3 linked regions of the Arabidopsis thaliana genome follow. The protein of the gene in region 1 interacts with the protein of each later gene in a pairwise test. Each region holds a gene or a part of one and is shown in the gene's direction. Other genes may lie near its edges.

Region 1 (4,724 bases):
ATTTAGGAACCAATGTGCTTACATGGGAAAAAAGGCTATTGCGAGCCCGAGCTTTCTTAGCTAAACAATCTGCTCGAGTATTAGAACTACGAGAAAGAAATCTAATACGAAAAGAAGGGAAAAAACAAACTAAAGAACGATATGAAGCCAATTCCGCTGCAAAAGTCAGCCAATCGTCTTGGTTATCAAGGATAGCAATCAAGTCTGAGCAATCCGAAGCAAAAGTACCAGAAGTATCACCAATAGAGATCATGCACTCCATTGCCTATAACAAAGAGTTAAATTCCGCATGAAGCGGTGATAAATTTCGACGAGTGCTCTTAAGGCCAAGGTGGATGACCAAGTCTTGTCGAACAAGTACCCAACCATGCCCGCTCAATGTGTCATCTACATGCCATGATGCATCGAGTTGACATTCAGGGAGCAAGGTGGACGGGGTCTGAGAAGAACCTACGAACACGATTGGACGAGTGGAATCATCCTCTTTTAGAGTTGCTTGTTTCCAAACAGCTGTCTCTTGAAGTGCCAAAACCAAAGTTTCAGGGGGAGGTTCCCTGAAGTTCTCAAAAACAAAACGATTTTTACTTTTCCAGATATACCAAATTATCCATGGAAAGAGTTCCAACACCTTTTCTCCAATTCCAAATTCTCGGTCACGCCAAAAAAGGAAGTCGAAATTATAGAAGAGAGAGTTTCTAGGGAAAATATTCCCTGAGGTAGGAATAGGCGATAAAGCCCAAATCTGTCTCGAAGGTGGACAATGAAACAATAGATGGTTGATTGTCTCTTCTACTTCTTCGCAACGGGGACAACCTTTATCTGTACCCATATGGCGATATGTCAATCTTTGACAAGTGGCTAAACAACCCGAGATACATTGCCACACGAAATGCATAAGCTTCCGCGTAGTTTTAAGCTTTCATACTTGTGCCTGAAGTGCCGAAACACCTGGTCCCTGAAAAGGGGGGTCACAAGTAGGACGAGAAAGATCTCTCGCGACCCAATATCCTGACTTAACAGTATAATTACCGGATTTAGTGTGAGACCAGCTAAAGCCATCACTCAAGTAGGTACGACTTGGGCGAATCCCTAAAATGAGTGGAATATCAACGGGATCGATCAGTGCTTGGAGACGGTCCAATTTCCACAAATTTGTGTTTTGGTCAATTAAATCATTGACATAGAGTAGAGAATCTCTTATGTTAAGAATGCTCTTTGCAGGCCGCGCTAGGATAGTGGGAATCCATGGATCTTTCCATACGCGAGTCAGCATTCCAGAACCTATGGTCCTCCGAAATCCAAAGACAAGAAGAGGTTTGGCGCATTTTCACCTCTAAAATAAACACAATTTCATGTTGATATTAAGGTTGTTAGTTTCGATCCAAAAGAATTATTTTGACTATAGTTAAGATGATGTTATACCTAAAAAATATAATTTACATTTTATAAAGAAAACAAACTAATTATATTATCAATGGATGATACCGGATATAGGAACTTATAAGGTGAAAAAAATCAAAGAACCAAAAACCCAAAAACTTTCCAAATATATAAGAGAATATAAATATGTTTTGGAGAATCAAAAGAACCTAACCCAAATAAAAAGAAAGCAAAAAACTCACTCTTGTTGCTGTCATCGAGGCCCAACAGCTCTTGTCTCATTTTTGCATTGCCACGAAAGTCATCACCCTATAACTTTAATTTATAAATTTTTTAATGGGTTAGAGAAAATAAAAAACGCATATAATCCAATTATTACAACTTTAACAAATTAAAGAAGACATGATGATTAGATTACCATGCGAATAAGACAAACATATTTTGTAAAATGTTGTCAAAAAAATATCTCTAAAGCATTCATGATTTTAGCATTTAACAAAATAATTCTGATAACCAATTTTGTTACACACTACTATAAAACTTCTAAACACAATATTGTGATGTTATAATAACTTTTACATGGTGAATAGACAATTTCAAAAGATTAATAAAAAGAAAACTCGATTATTCAATTTTTAAAAATAGATTATTAATTTAACACAGAGATTCCTTTCCACGTATAGCTTGAGTGGAGCTGAGCCGATTAGTATAAGCCGAGCCATATTATATCCGTTTGAGATTAATTTTATTTTAATTGATTTTTTAATCTTCTCTTACACGAGTTCCAGTGATACCGGAAGAAACCTGGAGGTAACTGGGTATAGCCGGTGGACCCCCTCAAATTTATTTTAACAAAAAAAAAAAAATCATTTACAAAAGAAAACACCCAAGACAATATCTACTTAACCATGGTTACTTTCTAACCCAACCTTTGAGTTTATTTAAACTGAGAGAAAGTGTGAAACCAAGCTTGTTCATATGGAAAACGCTCATCAACCTCAACAATCTCTCTCCTCTCTCTCTCTGTATATAGAAGAATCTCCATTGTCTTTAATTTCTCTCCATTTCTCTTTCTCTCTTCCTTCAAAGTTTTCTCTTTTCTTGATGGGTTTAAGAGAGTAAAGATCATCAAGTACTATGCATTAAATTGAGAAGTTATTAAAAATTTCGAAAGTAATTAAAGATTGTTGATGATGAAGAGATTAAGTAGTTCAGATTCAGTGGGTGGTCTCATCTCTTTATGTCCTACAACTTCCACAGGTACTTAGCTAATTTTCTAAACAAGTCCTTTAATTAATCTCATCTTTGTTTGCTAATTGTTCTTCTTATGGAATTACAGATGAGCAGAGTCCGAGGAGATACGGTGGGAGAGAGTTTCAGTCGATGCTTGAAGGATACGAGGAAGAAGAAGAAGCTATAGTAGAAGAAAGAGGACACGTGGGCTTGTCGGAGAAGAAGAGAAGGTTAAGCATTAACCAAGTTAAAGCTTTGGAGAAGAATTTTGAGTTAGAGAATAAGCTTGAGCCTGAGAGGAAAGTTAAGTTAGCTCAAGAACTTGGTCTTCAACCTCGTCAAGTTGCTGTTTGGTTTCAAAACCGTCGTGCTCGGTGGAAGACAAAACAGCTTGAGAAAGATTACGGTGTTCTTAAAACCCAGTACGATTCTCTCCGTCATAACTTTGATTCCCTCCGCCGTGACAATGAATCTCTCCTTCAAGAGGTATAAAAATTCAACCTTTTTGATAAAAGATTGAAACTTTTGTTGATTCAAAGTTAAAAAAATTGAAACTTTTTACCAATCTTGAGATTTACAAGAGAATTGAAACTTATGGTTTTGGTTTGATGCAGATTAGTAAACTGAAAACGAAGCTTAATGGAGGAGGAGGAGAAGAAGAAGAAGAAGAGAACAACGCGGCGGTGACAACGGAGAGTGATATTTCGGTCAAGGAGGAAGAAGTTTCGTTGCCGGAGAAGATTACAGAGGCACCGTCGTCTCCTCCACAGTTTCTTGAACATTCTGATGGTCTTAATTACCGGAGTTTCACAGATCTACGTGATCTTCTTCCATTAAAGGCGGCGGCTTCTTCATTCGCCGCCGCAGCTGGATCTTCAGACAGTAGCGATTCAAGCGCTCTGCTGAATGAAGAAAGCAGCTCTAATGTCACTGTGGCGGCTCCGGTGACGGTTCCAGGAGGTAATTTCTTCCAGTTTGTGAAAATGGAGCAGACGGAGGATCATGAGGACTTTCTGAGTGGAGAAGAAGCTTGTGAATTCTTTTCCGATGAACAACCGCCGTCTCTACACTGGTACTCCACCGTTGATCATTGGAATTGAAGCTGAAAACACCACCGGAAGAGATTTTGGATTGGATTAGATGCTCTTTTCTTCTCTGTGGAAAAAACAGAGGAGGGCAAAATGGGAATAAAGTTAAAATTGAAGGGTGAAAGGGCAATTAAGGAAGGGTTAAGTCTGGGCGGGAATAATGATTTAGGGTGAATTTGTAATTATGCTTTTTCTCTAGTGATTTTCGTGCACTTCTTGTAATTAAGGATCATCAGATCAAAGAGAAATTGAGAAGGGGTTAACATGTCAAAGGCAAAAATTCAGCATGGGCTCTTTAAATTACAATTGACCCTTGAAACCTAAATTATACCACTTCTGACCCTTAAATCAATTTTTGAATCATAAAACTACAGTGTGACTTCGTGTATTTAGTTCTAGTGTATTATGGGATTTTTTTCAAAGAGAATGCACCTCAAAGTCTCAGCTTTAAGTCTAATGTTTGGGTAAAAAACACACCGAACTTCAGATCCAAAACCTCTTGATAGAAAAAACAAAATAGATGTGTTATACACTTTTTTTTTTTTTTTGAATCTGTTAAATATACTTTTAGTGTAGTTTGTTTTGTGATTTGAATTAAAACTTTAGTATAAATCAATTTATTACATTTTCGATTACCGGAAAGTATTCATGTCATTAAGGTTTATTTAGTTCAAACTAATTTTTTTATTTCATTCTGTCTTATTTGACCTATAAAATCTAATTTAGCTTAAAAAGGTATTGTCATGTACCACTAATTTATAATTACTAACTTATATACTTTAATTAGTGATATAAGGTGAAACTTAGCAGTAATGACAACAAATAAAAGATGAAGATATATACTTAAAGGCGGTAAAAGATGATAATAAGAATCCGACCAAAAAAAAGATGTGATAAATAAAAAATAGATTGTACAATAAGTTTTAATAATATTTTAAATAATCATAAAATAAAAAGAAATTTGTTTTAATATTTTCTTACCAAAACCTCAACATAATATAGTAAAAAGCCAATAATACAAGA
Region 2 (4,750 bases), on another chromosome or scaffold:
AAGATTAAAGTGGTTCCTTGATTGATCTCACCAAAAAAAAAAAAAAAAGAGACTTCTACGAGAGGCAACTCCTAAAAATACTTCTCTTCTTCTTATCACACAAATTATGAATCTGTTTTGATGGAAACCTAAACACATGGGTTAATGAGCTATTTCTATAACAATGATTGGGTTGCTCTACTAATTGTAGTTTGTTTGACAAAGATTTTTATTCCACTTTTATTTTTTGTTCGATAATTCCTTATCCAAACTTGATTTAAACCCCAATTTTGACCTGAGTTCAACAAATAAACGCAAACTTAGCGAACAGGATGAGACAAATTTTCTATCTCGAAATAGATTAAATAGTTATTAAAAACTTATTCTTTTTATCAGGATTCTTTTGTTCTATTCCTTTCACAACTTTGAATTCTTTGAAGCACTTTTGTATAAAATCACAATCATTTTGTTCAGATTTTGGGAGCTGGAACTGAAGTGTTGTTTCTAAAATCTTATCAAAGGGATGCATGTTGTATTGCTTTTGTGTCGCTTATTAAACTTTCAATTTGCACCCAAACGAGAAATAAGATCAAATCCTCTTGTTTTCATTTAGATTTGTGTTGACATTTGTGTTAGTTTCTTAGTGTAAAGGAACAAGTTTGTGTTGACATACATTCTTTCTTCGTTTTTTCAGTGGCAATTGACAGTTCCTTACTTGCTACTTCCTCTAAGATTGTCACTTACTTGATAAGATGAACAACGATGATGTAAGTTTCTTTTTTTTTTCTAATGTTATAGAATTGTATGATTGAGAATTGGATGTTTTTTCCTGAATTTAGAATTGGTCGGACGAAGAGTGTTGATATTTTCTTCAACTTTGTACTGCTGAGGAAAAAGGGAATAGAAGAAAGACGAGATTAAATATAACTGGAAAAGAGTCCATCATGAGATAGTTTGAAGAAAAATTTGGGAAGAGATATTCATGGGATAAACAATTCAAGAACAAGTATGATGTGCGTAGAAGAACATACACAAAGGTTAAAAACTTGCTTCATAACAGAACTGAAATTACATATGATTCTGTGTAAAGAATAAATATAATTTTTCTTTTCATTACGTTTACCTAAGTATTTAAGAAAGCAAGTAAACATACTTTTAATAACTAAAGGTCGCTGAAAATTCTAAAAATTGTAACGTGAATTCTCAAAACTGTAAAAACTGATTCTTTTTATTGTACCCTATATGTTAACGTTAATTCTCATAACTCTAAATTCTTATTTTTCCATCAAAATCATGACGTCAATCAAACTGTTAAAAGGCGAGATACAAATATAAATATTGTACTAATATTGTTAATCTGAAATATCTACTATTCAAACATATTTGTTTGAAGTATATCATATTACATGATACATTTTTTGGTGATGAATCAAATTGATGAATAAACATTTCAATATGAAATTTACTTGTTTTTGAATAATTATGTAATACTTTTTTTTATTAGTTATATTTTGTAAAAAAATATAATATTTTATTATAAATTTCATCAATTGACACATATTCATTCATGACAATTTTTTTATCAAGCTTGAGATCCTCAAAATGGTTTTATCATTAGTTATATTTAAAATTTTAACATTAAATCATAATAATATAAAAATTTGGTGTTTTTCAGTTTTCTAAAATTATAAATTATATTATTTTGGTATTTTGTATTTACCGTTATCGCACATGCTAGTTAACCAACTATAAAACTTCAACAAACGTAAAATTTAACCGCTAAATCAATCATTTAAAATATATGATAACTCTTAAAACCGCAACTCTCCGTTTCCATAAATTTCAGCAGTCTGCATTTGAACCATTCAAGCCTCGTAGTTTGGTCAAGAACCGATTACGCGGCCAAATCTTATATCCGACGCTAAGTCGCTAACCATGTGGAAACCATTATTTATCAATAGAAATCAAAACGACAAAACCCGACCTAAACCGAAATCTCAAATTCGAACCCAAATCCAACTTACAAACCTGACCTTAACCGGAAATCAGAATCCGAAAACATTTTCCCTTATAGCAAGGTTTAAAGAAAGCAATAACAAAACCCTATCTCTCGTCTCTTCTCCCCCAAACTCTCGCCGCCGTGATAACCCAAAGTTCTCGACGAAGCCATGTCTACCGGAGAAGAAGGTCACATGGCGATGGCAGATAGAGGCTCTAGAAAGAGAAGAGTCGGCGTTAAGAAAGGTACTAAAGCGGCGAGGAACAAAAAGCAAAAATCAAAACCTTCTACTTCCGATAGGTTTAAGGTTACAATGAAGAATCAAAAGCTATTTCAGAAGAGAGCACGAGATTACAATTCCGATGACGATGAAGAAGAAGATGATGAATCGAAGAAACAACCAGAAGTAACAATTCGTGAGAAGATCTTCTCTGATGCTAACATGGGACCAAATTACGAAGAGATTGGAGAAGAAGATAATGATGAGAATTCAGATGGTGAAGATCATGGAGAGATTGAATCTGGAATCACTAAGTTTGCTACTGATGGATGTAATGCTTTCAAAATCGCTTTTAAAGCTATTATGAAGAAGACTAAAGGAGATGATACATTGGTGAGATTTTATAGCAGATTCTAGTTTTGAGTTTTGATTTGGGAATATAGTGTTGAACTGTGTTGGTGTTGTGTGTAATAGGGCCCAGTTTTATCAGCACATAAGCATCTTATTGGAGAGAAGCTAGCTGAAGATGAAGCTGAAAAGAAAGCTAAAGGTCAAGCTAGAAAGGCTAAACATTTGGTATGAGTTTGGTTGTTGTGTTCACTATTCGTTTGTGTTCTTGTGTTTTAGATGATGATTTATCTTAACAATTGCTTTTTTAAGATTGCTGAGAAGGGACATGTTAAACCTGGAAGTTATTTGGATTCTCATGAAAAGATTCTTATTGGTGTTGCTACTAAAGGAGGTATTGTTGCTTTGGTTAAACTCTCTGTTTCTTGAGATTGTTTGGTTTTTTTTTTTTGTTTTAGTATTGACTCTTTTTTTCCTCTCCATGAACTTGTGGTATCACAGTGGTCAAGCTTTTCAATGCTGTAAGTTTGTTTCTATGTCTATTTTTGAGGTTTTTATTCTCCGGTAGTGATTCGTATGATTCTTAGTTTATGTTTTTCAAATAGGTCAACAAGGCTCAACATGCTCAGAAGGGTTTGAATCCTTCAAGGTCTAAAGACGCTAAAGGTAGGCTTAGAAATTGATCGTTGGCATGAATCCACTGTCTTGTTCTTATCTTCTAATTCTCGTTTTTTATCCTATTGGAACATCCATCAGTGCTGAAGAAGCGAAGAAAAGAAGCATTCTTGTCTGAGTTAGGGAAAACAAAAACAGACACCAAGGTTTGGCATAGTCTCCATATCTCTTACTCTCTCTCTTTCATTATGATTTATCTTGAGAGTTTATTCCTTAGCCGTTTGATGCACGTAGAAACAAGTTAGTATTCTGTCTTGATCTAGCTCCTATAGAGAGTCACGAAAAGAATCACCTCATGAGTGAGTGATAGATGTTAGTTATAAATCAGAAGTATTCTTAGTAAATTACTAGTAACAATTTTGAATGTTCTTAAAGCCTTCAACTTTGGATGAACATAGAAGCAAGTTAGTATTCTGTCTTGAGCTGGCTTCTATAGAGAAAGGATCACCTTCAGTAGCGAGAGCCGTTAGTTATAAGTCTAAAGTATTGTTGGTTAGTTAACTAGTGATATTCTGTTGGATGGTGCAGGCTCACAAATCTGAAGACGAAGCTCCTGTTTGGGCTCCTCTACGAGATAATTACATGTTAGCAAACCCAAAACTGAAGGACTGGGACAAGAAACAGGTATCTCTTCATTCTTATCCACAAATCTGGAATCACATAGCTTGCATACTGATTTATACTCTTTGATCTGAAACTTAAAATTGAATTGTCCGCAGGAAACAAGCGAGGGAGATGATTTTGCCGGTTTGTCAGGAGATGAAAGTTATGAAGACTGAAGAGTTTAAACTAGTAGTTAAACGAGCAAACTTTAATTTTGCCTTTGTATCATGCAAATTTTGTCTGATCAATATGAATGAATTCAGTTTTTTGATAGTGCAAAAGGATCCTGAAAGGTTGTGATTCTTGTGGTTACGCTTTTAGAAAATACACTTGTTAGTATCATTAACCAATACCGTAAATATAGAAGTGATGATACTCCAAACTTCTACATGGTTATTATTTATATGACGTAAAAAAAATATACATTCGTTGTTTTGCCTTGGCTACACAAATTATAATAGGACAAAATTTAAGGATCATGAACCTGAATCTGTAGAAGAGTTTCTAGTTTCACAGTCAAGTCATGATGCCAAATGACAGAAGAAGATAACAAACTTTATGCAAAAAATGAGGCAGAACTGCAGAAGCATGCGCCTTTCTAAGCAAGTATGACGCTTTTGAGGCGGAGAACTCGTGTTCCTTTTCAACCAATAATGGCTTCCAGATCCATCGCTGCCAATTAGTTGCATCTCTGTCTTATATCTCCACTTTGTGATCTTTCATTGTTTTGAGGTTTTATCCTCAGTAGCTTCTTGTTGGGCTCATCGGGTCGTAATCATAAGCTTCACCGGACTTGACAAACCGTCCTTTCACACGCCGTCTCACATCAGCCCTTTCTTTCCTAGAGACATACCTTACTCGCTTGTCAAACCTATTTATACAAAATATGTTAAATATTAGCTATAACAACTTTCAATGATGAATTA
Region 3 (5,071 bases), 2.4 Mb from region 1:
TGAGGAACACTTAATGGAAACAAGAGGCTGATAATTTACAAACCGGCTCGGAGCGGATCTTGGTCGGAACCCTTTAGGCATACAACTCTTTACTTGTGTCCCATGAAAAATCTGATTCCTCGGATTCAATTTGACCGTGTCTTCGACTGATAAAGGCATCATCGACGAGCTTGGAACACTCTCCAGTGGTATTAGTCTCCCTCCAGCGTACAAGAATAAAAGGTTTAGAGTGATAATGACAATATGAACTCTTGTGTTGAACATTGGGTTTTAGTTTGAAGTAATTATTTTTGTTTTTTTGAGAGAGTTTGGAATGATAATGTGAGGGATATATAAGTGGGAGGAGATATACACTGGTTTAGGGTTAAAGTTCATAAATGGGCTCGTGAGTGATGGCTGGAAACATAAGAGAGAAGAGTAAGTAGGAGAGGACAGAGGCAAAATGGCTGGAAAATGGTATTAATCAAAATACGATTTTATATGTGTGATAGAGATACAAAAAAGTGTTGATGGGGTCGGGAAGATCAGAAAGAGGTAGGAAAGTCCGTGAGTTTCAGAAATTACAATCAAAGATCAAACATTTGTCTTTGCATTTATGAATTATGACACACTCACACGCAATTTTCTATATTTTCAAACTATTGTTTCTCTTGTTTTAAAATGGTTTGGAGATTGGACATGGATTTTTAAATATATATATTATTATGTACACGGTTGCATGGGTTTTCGGGACTATTGGATTTTGCTTTCTTTTGGATAACAAAAACACGATAAATATTTCATTAAACCATACAAATCTTCGATTGATAAATACATATACGAAAACATACCTAAGGAAAAGGAATCCATTGTTGTAGGATTTAGGTACCATGCGGTTTTCCAAACCATAGAGTAATCTCATATGTATTGAAATTTAAAAAAAAAAAAATACAAAGAAGAACTAAAAAACAGAAAAAAAAAACTAAGAAAATAGGGAAATTAAGTTGGAGTCTCTTTAATTTGTTTTTTTTTTGTCATCTAGAGTTATTTTAATGTTACCATGATGAAATACTTGATAAAATACAACATTAAACCGAAAGAAAACGAGATTTTTTCGAAGTTTAAGCCCTAAGTAAAAAAGTCATAAATAATACTACAAAGCAAGAGGAAAAAAGCAATAGTAGTTGAAATCCCACCAAAACTATAAGTCGCATAGTTCTTGAAGATTATTTGAAAGAAAAGTATCGCGGATGCCCACCACCAACCAACGATACACAAGTCCTCCTATTGAGATGAACAACAACCTTCAGATTTCAGAATTTTTAAGCTTTATAACCTGATAACCACTGCCCAAACTTTCTTTCGTATGTGGTGATGTCATAAATCGACAAGAAACAATAAACATTAAGATTATGTGCCTTCATTGGATCATGGACTGAAAATTAAGCTCTTCGATCAACTAAAACAAATTTATCATCATTGTTTTCATACTCGCTGCTAAGTTTGCAGGGGAGTATTAGAGTCCACAACTAAAACAAGTCCAAACCCAATGTGAGGTCTACATAAGTAGAATTTTAACAAGTTAGAAGATTCATATAAACAATTATGTAATGAGAACTATGATTGTAACTTTGAGAGAACTCTCTTCCTTCATCTTATGAAATATCAAATCTAGAAACATTGGCTTTTGGTGACAAACCTTAAGCTCCTTTACATTTTTCTCTTCTTTACATTTCAATAAAGCTCACTAGAACTATTGCATTTCTATCTTTATATAATAAGCTCAATGAACATCAATCTATATTTGTCTTAAAAATGTCAAATAAATAGAAGTTTCATGAAAGGACCAGACCTCGATCAAGTCTGAGAAGCATAGACAAGGAGTGAAGATTTAGTCTCGATAACACCATTCTTAAGAGACGAAAAAAGGTAAAAGATCGAATCGCATAGAATCAAAGAAATCTTCACATATTCAGAGGAAAAACAGCATGTCTAGCGAACACTAGAGTCGAACAAAAGCAAACCACCAATCACACATCCTTATTTGTCAATTATTTATTTTGGAAACTAAAAAGAAAGTTAATGAGTAAAATAGTTTCCATAAGAAGAAAAAAAATGTTTTCTGAGGAAAGAAAATGTTTTCGAAGGACAGCAAAGTTTAAGCCAATAAGCAAAACAAAAGCTGATGCTTGTCGCGACTGTGTTCGTCAAGAATCTCCAGGACGAACCCAATCTTCTCTCTCGAAGCTGTCTAAAATTAATCAATCAATCATTGAGCTAATCATATTCTAGGTTAAGTAAAAACAGAGTAAACCCTCTCTTTTTTTCTCTTTCTCTGCCTTTCTCAATTTCGTTTCGTCTCCTTCGTTCTTCCAATTTCCGTCTGATTTTATACGAAATTTGCATTGATATCGAAGTAAAATCGAATACCCATGATTCAAAATTTCATTTTTTATGCGACTGATTCCTCAATTTTGATTTTCCGGTGATTTCTAGGGTTTTCTATTAGGTGGGTGTTATTTATCATTTGATGGGTCATTTACTGATGATTTTGCAGGTTTTTGTTTTAAGGATTTGTGTAGACTTTCATTGCTGCTACGTTTTTGAAAGGGTAATTTGAAGGGCTTAGCTTCCCAAAGGTGAGAATTTTAACTCCAGTTTGGCTTCTGATATTGTGTTCATTGTTATGTATTTTTAAGCTTAGTAGTTGTGTTTTAAAGTTGTTCCAGTTTGGTTGATAAGTGTGTATGTGTGTTCATCAGATTGGGTGAGTACAGTTCTTTCATTGATATCTCCAGTTGATTTGTGGGAATTTTGTTCTGTGTGTATAGGATTTAGACCTCAAATATTGGATTCTCTTTAAGCATTTAAGTGCCTGGTTTCTTCATCATCACTTGATAGGAGGACTTTACAAATTTTATTCTGAACATGGAATTTGGTTAGCCGAATAACTTCGTGGGGATTAGTTTCTCGTGCAAGGAAATTCTTCATGGTTCTGTCTTGGAAGTGTTTGGAATCTTGAAGCTTGATAGATTTTCGATGTAGGCATGATGCGGTTTTCTTATAGGTTTAAAGGGTCTTTAGCTGAGATATGGTTCCTATGGTGTGTAATAGGTTTAAAGGGTCTTTAGATGAGATAAAACTGTGCAAAGAGTTCATATAATAAATGGTTAAATCCTATATATTATCTGTTCAGTGTACATAGAGAAGAATTAGCTGTGGAATTTGGATGTACATGATAATAACAATGTAGTTTATGTCTTCCAACTTGTCTCTGTTGTGATAATGATCAATGTGTTTCTATTCTAACTCCTGTGGTCCATTGATTTTTGAATCCTTTGTCCACCTTAGTACTTTCTTCGAAGAAGGCATGGGAAAATATGATTCTCTGGTCCAACTTTCTTAAGACTGTCTGCATCTTTGGATCCTTAGATTTGTCTACGGGATTATGAATTATTTGACTTTTGATACCGATTAGACAAAAGTCTTACATTTCACACAAATAAGAGTTTGCATCATTGTAGAGAACAACATTGTTTTCATTTCTGCTTCAGTGTTTTTGAGTTGAAATGTAAACACCTCTTTCTCTTAGATTAGTTTGAATGGCACTTGAGCTGGTGTGACCTACATTCATTTTGATTGTTTACTTTGCATGCTATTGCGGTTTAGTTATGATTATATTTTGTTTCAGGCACTAGGTGGCAATCTTATCCAAGATGAACAGTCAAAATCCTGATGATCATGTAAGCCAGCTAAAACACCTTTTTGCCTTCAACCAACTAATCGAGTAATTTCCAGTCTCCCGCTCGATTTTTCAATCTTTTATCGTTTTCTTAAACATAGGAGGACACAACGGTTGTGGGATTTGAAGTACCTGTATCACCGGTTTCAAGTTACAACAATGTGTATTCCTCAACCGAAGATGAGACAAGAGATCCTCCAGCAGTACCGCCACACCTTCAACACTCTCTATTAGGCAATCAGGGTAGCATGGAACTGGCTTATGCGCCACAGAATGTTGTCCTGAACCACCTCTATATCGAGAACCGAGACGCCCCAAGATCTGTTGTAGCACTCGGTTTCTCGCATCGGTTCAGGACTAAGTTTGTCACTGTGGTGATATACAAGCCTGTCCAAAGAAGAGGGAGCGCCAATGTTTGAATAATGATACCTCTTTTTAAGTAGTGTTGGGAATTTGCTTCTTTATGGATTGAATTTGGTATACAAAACCATCTGGTCCGTACTGAATTTTATTCTTCTCTTACAGATTCGATTTAGACGGTTTCTAGGTACATTCGATTGAAATCATCTTCTTGTTCGGAGTTTATATAAAATCTCCATGCATTTTTATTTTTTAGGCCCAAAAAAGCTGATAGACGTGGGCATTGTTTGTTTGTAATAACTCCCTTAGATTGGGTTTAGTTAAACGAGCCCAAATATCGCTAATGAAGTTCTTTACTTGCTCATATGTAGTGTTACCATAAATTATTTAAATCTTTCGTAGCTCCAAAAAGGAAAAAAAAAAAAAAAAATCTTAATCAAAACTTTCTATGTCCGAGATAAGTTACCAAACTAATGCTCTAAAACTGGATTGGATCGTCGGATCAATGCATTAGTCTAAAACTGGATTGGATCGTCGGATCATTGCATTAGTTCGGTTTGAATGTAGATCACTTATACTCTCGTTGTTTTTAATTAAGTGTAGTTTTAAGGTTTTTTATTTTTTTTTAATATAAGTGTTGTTTTCACTTTTCTATGCAAACATTAAATGTATTTAATAATTTTTAATTAATTATATTTTTTTACTGGTTGGATTAGTTGTAATTAATGATGTTTTTATAGGAAAAAGATAAATTAAATAAAATTTGTATGTTTTCTTAATTTGTGTGCAAAAACTTTAAACTACAAATATTCAGTAACAGAGGGAGTATATAAAAACAAAGTTGGTTTGTGCATGGGAGCTTATTTGCACAAAATTGATTAAAAAATGGGTTCTGGATATTAATAAGACTATGATTAATATCCAGAACCCTATATTTTTTTCAATTTCATCGAAAGTTTCATCAATGTAACGTTAAAACAAATTATACAT

Evidence for each region.
Region 2: the proteins of HB6 (region 1) and AT5G48240 interact in a two-hybrid assay, tested with the Arabidopsis thaliana proteins (one large-scale study listed by BioGRID).
Region 3: the proteins of HB6 (region 1) and AT2G28060 interact in a two-hybrid assay, tested with the Arabidopsis thaliana proteins (one large-scale study listed by BioGRID).

Annotation. Positions count from the first base shown.
Region 1 is NC_003071.7:9,525,459-9,530,182, reverse strand, and holds HB6 (homeobox protein 6), read left to right. Parts: upstream 1-2,337; 5' UTR 2,338-2,570; coding exon 2,571-2,640; intron 2,641-2,719; coding exon 2,720-3,099; intron 3,100-3,227; coding exon 3,228-3,713; 3' UTR 3,714-4,195; downstream 4,196-4,724. Other genes in the region: AT2G22440 (non-LTR retroelement reverse transcriptase), read right to left, coding at 266-711, 949-1,273. UniProt on the Arabidopsis thaliana protein: Transcription activator that may act as growth regulators in response to water deficit. Interacts with the core sequence 5'-CAATTATTA-3' of promoters in response to ABA and in an ABI1-dependent manner.
Region 2 is NC_003076.8:19,557,154-19,561,903, forward strand, and holds AT5G48240 (Rrp15p protein), read left to right. Parts: upstream 1-2,089; 5' UTR 2,090-2,147; coding exon 2,148-2,591; intron 2,592-2,672; coding exon 2,673-2,774; intron 2,775-2,858; coding exon 2,859-2,940; intron 2,941-3,047; coding exon 3,048-3,067; intron 3,068-3,151; coding exon 3,152-3,212; intron 3,213-3,302; coding exon 3,303-3,367; coding exon of another isoform or gene 3,368-3,438; coding exon 3,439-3,524; exon of another isoform or gene 3,525-3,619; coding exon 3,620-3,674; exon of another isoform or gene 3,675-3,749; coding exon 3,750-3,845; intron 3,846-3,940; coding exon 3,941-4,000; 3' UTR 4,001-4,122; downstream 4,123-4,750. Other genes in the region: BBX8 (B-box type zinc finger protein with CCT domain-containing protein), read right to left, coding at 4,566-4,695.
Region 3 is NC_003071.7:11,949,243-11,954,313, reverse strand, and holds AT2G28060 (5'-AMP-activated protein kinase beta-2 subunit protein), read left to right. Parts: upstream 1-2,060; 5' UTR 2,061-2,271; exon of another isoform or gene 2,272-2,536; 5' UTR 2,537-2,618; intron 2,619-3,670; 5' UTR 3,671-3,695; coding exon 3,696-3,722; intron 3,723-3,822; coding exon 3,823-4,140; 3' UTR 4,141-4,443; downstream 4,444-5,071. UniProt on the Arabidopsis thaliana protein: Regulatory subunit of the probable trimeric SNF1-related protein kinase (SnRK) complex, which may play a role in a signal transduction cascade regulating gene expression and carbohydrate metabolism in higher plants.